2 linked regions of the Canis lupus familiaris genome follow. The protein of the gene in region 1 binds, or shares a complex with, the protein of each later gene. Links are inferred from orthologs where the notes say so. Each region holds a gene or a part of one and is shown in the gene's direction. Other genes may lie near its edges.

The links.
Region 2: the proteins of BRME1 (region 1) and HSF2BP are in contact, whole or in part, in a crystal structure (PDB 7Z8Z), measured with the Mus musculus proteins. The link is inferred for Canis lupus familiaris from reciprocal best matches to the Homo sapiens genes BRME1 and HSF2BP. Residues at the interface, in NP_083321.2 of Mus musculus: Met541, Gln542, Asp543, Ala544, Thr545, Val548, Arg549, Leu551, Val552, Leu555, Ser556, Asn559, Ile562, Met563, Thr565, His566, Leu569, Lys573; in NP_083178.1 of Mus musculus: Glu23, Phe24, Val25, Lys26, Val27, Arg28, Asp31, Leu32, Arg34, Leu35, Glu38, Val39, Gln41, Ile42, Phe45, Leu46, Arg48, Ile49, Glu53, Leu54.

The regions. Positions count from the first base shown.
Region 1 is NC_049241.1:48,971,039-48,974,843, forward strand, and holds part of BRME1 (break repair meiotic recombinase recruitment factor 1), read left to right. Parts: intron 1-2,022; coding exon 2,023-2,104; intron 2,105-2,337; coding exon 2,338-2,448; intron 2,449-3,805. UniProt on the Homo sapiens protein: Meiotic recombination factor component of recombination bridges involved in meiotic double-strand break repair.
Region 2 is NC_049252.1:37,529,474-37,533,861, reverse strand, and holds the start of HSF2BP (heat shock factor 2-binding protein), read left to right. Parts: upstream 1-1,492; 5' UTR 1,493-1,579; coding exon 1,580-1,615; intron 1,616-2,457; coding exon 2,458-2,608; intron 2,609-4,388. UniProt on the Homo sapiens protein: Meiotic recombination factor component of recombination bridges involved in meiotic double-strand break repair.

The DNA.
Region 1 (3,805 bases):
CCTGTGAGGAGTCTGCTTCTCCCTCTGCGCCTCTCTCTGTCTCTCTCATAAATAAATAAATAAAATCTTTTTTTAAAATACCATGTTCATAAAAAAAATACCATGTTCATAGAAGTATAACAGAAAAAAACAACAACATAAAGCAAACTTAACACATCTACGTTAAGAAATGAAATCTTAGGGATCCCTGGGTGGCGCAGCGGTTTGGCGCCTGCCTTTGGCCCAGGGTGCGATCCTGGAGACCTGGGATTGAATCCCACATCGGGCTCCCGGTGCATGCAGCCTGCTTCTCCCTCTGCCTATGTCTCTGCCTCTCTCTCTCTCTCTCTGTGTGACTATAATAAATAAATAAAAATAAAACAAGAAATGAAATCTTAGCCAATACTTTAGAGGCCACCCAAACAACCCATTCCAGTTAAAAATTTTCAAACAAACAAATAAATAAATAAAAATAAATAAAATTTTTCAAACACTCTTGCTATCACTATCTAGATGTATTCTGTCTCTATAAGCTCCCCAATACAACTTAAACCTGTTACTGTATCTTCAGGCTTTTTCCTCTTTCACTTCCAAAGTTGAAATCTTGAAGTTTTAGTTCCAGATTTTAATCTTTTTTTTTAGCAACATACACATCTGCATTTATTTAGATATAACCATAAGTCTCACATGCTTTATAAAAAGACCTAATTTTTTTAGAGTAGTTTTAGGTTTACAATAAATTTTTTTAAAGATTTTATTTATTTGAAAAAAAAAAGATTTTATTTATTTGAAAGAGACACATATATAGAGCATGAGACGGAGAAGGCAAGCACGAGCAGGGGAAAGGGCAGAGGGAGGAGAAGCAATCTCCCCATTGGGCAGGGAGCCTGATACAGGGCTCAATCCCAGACACTTTGGTTTACAGTAATATTGGAGAGAAGGTATGGAGATTTCTCATACACTACTCCCCATTATTGCCATCCCACCAGAGCAGTACATTTGTTACCAAGGATGAACTTGCAGTGACACATGCTAATCACCCAAAATCCACAGTTCACTTTAGAGTTCATTCTGTGCTATATGTTCTCTCTTTTTTTTTTAAAGAGATCTTATTTATTTATTCATGATAGACATAGAGAGAGAGAGAGGCAGAGACACAGGCAGAGGGAGAAGCAGGCTCCATACTGGGAGCCGGACGTGGGACTTGATCCCGGGACTCCAGGATCACGCCCTGGGCCAAAGGCAGGCGCTAAACTGCTGAGCCACCCAGGGATCCCTGTGCTGTATGTTCTGCGGGCTTGGGCAAATGCAGAATGACACGTATCCACCATTATAATCTCATACAGAGTATTTTTGCTGCCTAAAGTTCCTGTATCCTGTCCATCCCTCCCTTCCCCACCCTGGCACCATCTTTTTATTGTCTTCATAGTTTTGCCTTTTCCAGAATGTTACAGAGTAGTAATCATACAGTGCTTTCAGACTGGCTTCTTTCACTTAGAAATACGCATTTAAGTTTCCTCTTGGTCTTCTCATGGCTTGGTAATTCATTTCTTTAGTACTGAATAATATTCCATTGTCTGGGTGCACACAGTTTACGTATCAATTTACCCACTAAAGGCTGCCTCCATTGCTTCTGCATTTTGGCAATTACGAACACACTTGCTTTTTTAGATACTGTGTTTTTTGTGTCTATAACTTCCTTTTCTCTGGAATTTGCAGAGTTGGGGGTTAGAGTGTCATTGCAAATGAGAATTCCTATTCTTATCTCAGGAGCCAATTCCTGAGATTATAAGGGTAAACTGCTGCCAGAGCAGACAGCTTGGATTTTAGGTGTGGGTCTTCACACCCTTCTTGGCAGCCAAGTGTCACCCTAGGCACACTGTTCCCCTTCTCCATCCCACCCTCTCTAAGCAGGTGCTCCAGGGCCTCCCTTACAGGAGACTGAGTACTACTTTGCCTTTGGATTCATCCTGTTTGTCTCACCACATGCACTGACAGCCTCCCAGGACTTCAGAACCTCCTGTTTTGTCTTTCTCCACCCAGCTCCCATGATGAGGAAGCAGGAGCTCCCTCCAGGCTCTTTGGGCAACCAGAAAAGGGGCCGGTTCCCTTTGCTCTTTCTCAGGTGAGCCTGTTTTATGGCCTCATGTATGAACCAATGACACTGCCTCCCTTAAGCTGGAGTTCTTGTCTCTATCACCAGCATGCTGACAGACTGGTAGGACTGTGGGCTGGGGACAGAGGGCAAGGGCTGCATTGAGGCTGCCAGAAAGGAACTGGTTTGGCATTTGCTTTCTGAAACCTCATTCCTCCCCTTATCTTTATTGTTGTTTTGTTCTTATTGTATCTGGTTCACAGAACTCAGCCAGGAGGTATGTCCCCCAGTTTGCAAAACTCAGGAAGACAGCAACAAGACAAGCAGAGCTGAAGGAAGAGGACCTTGGGAGTGGAGCCCCTAAAATCAGCCAGGTGAGCCCAGTAGACACAAGCGTCTTGGACCAGCCTTGGCAGCTGAGTTCAGCCTTGGTTTTCTTTGGCACTGGCTAGACCTGCACTCATCTAGATGCCCCTTTTCAGTACACCATGCTACAGATGTCTGTGGAGCTCATGCTCATACAGGCCTGTATGAGGTGTTCAGGATAGCTGTGCTTGCAGCAAAATGGTCAAGGCTGCGGCCTTCTTCCCCAGGTTGTGTGAGAGTAGTAAAAACACAGAAAACAGCCCACATTCTATCCCTGAACCTCTTTACTTCTTGGAAGCTTTTGTGTGGTTTGGGGCAAGGGGTGGGTCTTACAATGTATTCTCATCCTTTCCACTCTGAGCTCTGGGGGTGATGACATCTCTGGCAACAGAAGCCCCTACCAAAGTGAGTGGTGGATATTCCCAGAAGCCATGTTTATAATCATCCCAAATTGGGAACACCCAGATATCCTTCAATGGGTGATTGGCTGGACACACCATGGAACACAACCTAGCAATAAAAGAGGATACAAACTAGTGATACACGCAACAATCTGGATGGATTTCCAGGGCATTATGTGGAGTGGAAAAAGCCAGTCCCAGAATGTTATACGCTGTAGGGCTCTATTTGCATAACATTATTGAAATGAGAAAATTATAGAAATGGTGGGTAGGTTAGTGGTTGCAGGGAGTTGGAGCAGGTGGGTAGGGTGGGAGGGAGGCAAGTGTGGCTACACTTGGCAGCACAAGGGATCCTGTGTTGGAGATTTTCTATATCTTATCTGTGTGGTGGATGCACAACGTCTACTGCAAGAGGACTGTATAGAACATCATACACACATGTAAACAGGTATAAGTCAAGCTAGAAAGCCAGATAAGTTCAGTGGACTTTATCAGTGTCAATATCTGGATTGTGATATTATACTCGAGTTAGGCAAGATGTTACCAATGGAGAAAACTGAGTAAAGGGCATGAGGAGTCTTCCCCATCGTTTCTCATATCTATATATAAATCTATGATGATCTCACTAAAAGGAGTCGGGACACCTGGCCAGCTCAGTTGGTGGAGCATGCAACTGACTCTTGATCTTAGGTTTGTGAGTTCGAGCCCCATGTTGGGCATAGAGCTTACTTATAATAAAATTAACTAATAAGAGGGGTCGTAGCTTCACTTTTGACGGAAAATGTGCGGGAAATGCTATGTGTAACTCAGTGAGTGGTTGCCAGTGGCTTCACTGAAGCCAGATTGACAGGCTCTGACCTTCAGTGATCTGATATTTGCAGGGCAGACCCTCCTAGAATGGTTGGGCCTCTTTGGTATAGGGAGGTACTGGCAGAGGTATGTCCCTCAGCAGTGATCCCTGTAT
Region 2 (4,388 bases), on another chromosome or scaffold:
CAGTGCAGAGGATGCTTGGGGTCAGGGGTAGGTCCCGGTGCAGGGCAGGTCAGGGTCAGGGTCAGGGTCAGGTCCCGGGGCAGAGGACGGCAGGGTCAGGGTCAGGTCCTGGCGCAGGGGTGGCAGGGTCAAGGCCAGGTCCCGGTGCAGGGCATGTCAGGGTCAGGGTCAGGGTCAGGTTCCGGTGCAGAGGATGGCAGGGCCAGGGTCAGGTCCTAGGTCAGGGGATGGTTGGGGTCAGGGTCAGGTCCTGGGTCAGGGGATGGCAGGGTCAGGGTCAGGTGCCAGTGCAGGGCATGGCAGGGTCAGGGTCAGGTCCTGGTGCAGGGGTGGCAGGGTCAGGGTCAGGTTCTGGGTCAGGGGATAGCAGGGTCAGGGTCAGGTCCTGGGTCAGGGGATGGCAGGGTCAGGGTCAGGTGCCAGTGCAGGGCATGGCAGGGTCAGGGTCAGGTCCTGGCGCAGGGGATGGCAGGGTCAGGGTCAGGTCCTGGGTCAGGGGATAGCAGGGTCAGGGTCAGGTGCCAGTGCAGGGCATGGCAGGGTCAGGGTCAGGTCCTGGCGCAGGGGTGGCAGGGTCAAGGCCAGGTCCCGGTGCAGGGCATGGCAGGGTCAGGGTCAGGGTCAGGTGTAGGGGACAGCAGGGTCAGGGTCAGGTCCTAGGTCAGGGGATGGTTGGGGTCAGGGTCAGGTCCTGGGTCAGGGGATAGCAGGGTCAGGGTCAGGTGCCAGTGCAGGGCATGGCAGGGTCAGGGTCAGGTCCTGGTGCAGGGGTGGCAGGGTCAGGGTCATTGCCAGTGCAGGGGATGGCAGGGGCAGGGACGAGGTCAGGTCCCAGTGCAGGGGATGCCGGGGCTAGGTACAAGACAGATGCAGGGGATAATGGGTTGGTACAGGTCCTGGCATGGGGACAGATTTAGAGTGGTTGTTTGCGAGTGTGCTCTCCTGCCTGGAGAACATTCGGGGGACTTGGGTGTTGTTGGCAACCTGCTGGCCTCAGAAACAGACGAGGTCTTAGTTGTGCAGGACCCAGTACACTGGACCGCGCTGGTGGCACCGATGGTGCACGCTCGGCCCGCGGGGCAGGTGAATGGACCAGGTGGCATCTTCCCGAGCAGGTGGTCGTCTGGGCTACAGGCGGCTGGCTGGGCTGGCCCTCCGAATCCCGGGCGGACCCCCGGAGGAGCCTCGGCTCCGCTGAGCGCCGCCCCTAGCCCAGCGCCCCCCGGGGTCGGGAAGGCCCCCGGGACTGCTTACCTTGCCGCTCAGCCTTGCATCCCCCTGTCCTTCTGCTCTGCAGGCAGCGAGTCTAAAAGCCCGGTTAAGGCAGCAGAGCCGACGCGGAACCTCGCCGAGCCCCACCGCTGCCCCCACCGCTGCCCCCACCGCTGCTCGCCGGGCGGAGGATGCTGCGCCAGCTCCTGGAGGTTCGAGCCTCGCTGCTGCGCGTTCCCGCGCTTTCGGGCCTGCGGGGCCTGCGGGGTCAGAGGGCGCGGCGCGCAGGCGCACGGAGCGGGCCGCAGGGAGCCGGGCCGCAGGGAGCAGGGAGCCGGGAGCCGGGCCGCACCAGCCGGGGGCGGCCATGGGCGAGACGGGCGGCGCCGAGGAGGCCTGCGGGGTCAGTGGGGAGGCCGGGCCCCGGCGACTGGCTGCGTGGTGCCCCCGGAGCGCCCGGGCCGCGCCCACCCGCGCAGGGGGCCCGGGAGGGGGCAGCGGGCGTGGCGGGGACAGTGCGGCCCCGGGGCGTTGTGCGGGGGCCCGGGAGGTGGGGGGACCCGGGCTCGGAGCCGGGCAGTGTCCGGTTCACGGTGAGGGCCGGAGGCGGTCACCCGGCCTGCCCCCCCCACGGCCTGGGCGGGTGGGGAAGATGAACGGAACAGCGGAGGTGCGGGGGGCGCTCCCAGAGGGCCGGGCAGCTGGGCCCGGGGGTGGGGGGGTGAGAGTGAGGGGGGCCCGAGCGTGTCCGGCTGGTGTAGGTCTCGGTTTCCGGGGGTGGGGGTGGGGTGGGGGGTGGGACCGGAGCGTGTCCAGAGCATCAGCCTCGGCCCCCCGCCAGGGGTGGGGGAACGAGTGCCCTGGTGGCCTCGGCTCTCTCGGGGGATGGAGGTGGGGTGTGGGGGTGGGGGACCAGAGCCTGTCCGGAGCCGGGGCTGGCCTCGGCCTTGGGGGGGGGTTGTTGGTGGTGGGGGGACTGAGCTTGTCCGGCTGGCCTCAGCCCCCGGGGGTGGGGGACCAGAGAGCTGCCCGATTTTCAGCCTCGGCTGGGGGGGGGCTGGCATGTGGATGGGAAGGGAGACACTGGCTCCCCCTTTGAAGTGTGCGGAGCAGAGGGCAGGATGGGTAACGAGGAGCTTCTGAAAGCTTTGTGAGCAGGAGGTGTCCAAGGAAGGAAGCCAGCCGACTTGGGCAGCAGTCGTCCGGAAAGACGGTAATAATGGGAAAATCTGCTCCTCCTTTTAGCACGTGGGGACTAAAGAGGAATTCGTTAAAGTCCGGAAGAAGGACCTCGAGCGGCTGACCACTGAAGTCATGCAGATCCGGGACTTCTTACCTCGGATCCTGAATGGGGAGGTGCTGGAAAGCTTCCAGAAATTGAAGATTGTAGAGAAAAGTGAGTCTGACTTGCAGTGAGCAGGCAGGGATGGGACGGCAGTCTGTGCCCGTGGCTGACCTTCCACGAACTGCCACTGTGGCTGCAGTTGGGAGAGTCGGTGGGGACTCAGGGTGAGGTGCCCTGGGGCGCAGAGCTCACACATCCCTAGTAAGCTGGCTGGGGGGAACGTGGCCAGCTCCCTGGGGTCTCCCTTAGTGGCTCCTGTTTCTACCTGCCTCTCATCCTCGGCGTGAAGATTCCATACTCTTAGAATTAGAAAGCTCCACTCTAAAGATTAAGCGTTGGTATAAGTGAAAAATCCTGCCTTGTGGAAACTTTGCATGGAGTTAAAAGTCTCGGTAGAGATACGTGTGTATTTACTTGTTTCTAGGTGAACAGACAAGCCCGTTTCTTGTTTTTATTAAGATTGATTGATTTATTTTAGAGGGAGAGGGAGAGAGTCCCAAACAGACTCTGTGCTGAGCTCTGAGCCTGGTGTGGGGCTCGATCCCACGACCCTGAGCTCATGCCCTGAGCTGAAACCCAGAGTCAGATGCCGCCCTGCCAGCTGCCACCAGTCAGTTTCCAGCCCTGATTTAAGTCTGGAATCCCAGGACTTGTCCATTCAGAGATTGAGATTCACCTTGAGCTCTGACGTCAGGTGTCAGTTTGGGAGCCTTATCGAAGTTCTAAGATTCTGGGACTGATTCTGCGCTTAACTAACATACTAAATTACAGTTAAGTGAGTCTTTGGTGCTTAAGGCTGGTCTAACGCTGTGCATTGGACTCCTCACCATCCCTGAGTGGTCTCTAGGACAAGTGTTTCTTTTCTTTTCTTTTCTTTTTAAAGATTTTATTTATTTATTCATAAGAGACACAGAGAGAGAGGCAGAAACACAGGCAGAGGGAGAATCAGGCTCCATGCAGGGAGCCGACATGGGACTCCAGGATCACACCCTGGGCCGAAGGCGGCGCTAAACCACTGAGCCACCCGGGCTGCCCAGGACAAGTGTTTCTGAGTGGCCCAGAGTGTGTCTCTAGCACTGGTCCAGACAAGAAGATACCTGAATTCAACAGTACACGTTTCTGGCGTGGGCTGATGTACCTGGCCAAGGGCGCAGCCATACATAGTTAGAAGGGAGAACGCTCATGACCACTGCAGTCCCCTGTCCTTACTCCCTCTTTGGAATCCTCAGATTGGGGGTCTCCTCCTACTCATGGCCATGACTCCTCCCCAGGGCTTCCTTGACAGTCTCAGCTCTTGCTGGACTTGACGCTGGTAGCCGTTTGTCTCCCCTTCCTCCATCTGGAGGGCTGTTGCTAGTCTCTGGGTGCCTCACCAACCCCTACCCTCCTCCACACATCTCACCATCTGGGATGTTGTCTCCCATGGAGACCCTGTCGGCTGTGCTCTAGGTCCCTGGTTATACCGTAGCTCTAGACCATTGGCTTCGGAGTCCCTTGTTCTGATCCCGTGCTCAGCCAGTGACCTTCTGAGAGCAGTCAGTCACCTGAGTGCGTTTATCTTCAGGGAAGGAAAGTCCTGACCCGTAGCAGAGCATGCCAGTGGGCTGAGTGGTTATGTCTCAGCAAATTAATGAACTGGCATTCTGAAAACGACATCAGGGTCTCATGAATTGGTTAGCACGAGTCTGGAGATCACAAAATCAAAAATGTATATATGAGACTGAGGGGCACAAAGATTGAATCTGTGGTGATGTGATCAGAGTTAGACTTTAAGAGCTCTTGCCTCGCCGTCCCCAGACCCTGTAGTCATGTCTTCCTGCTCTGGCTGTTT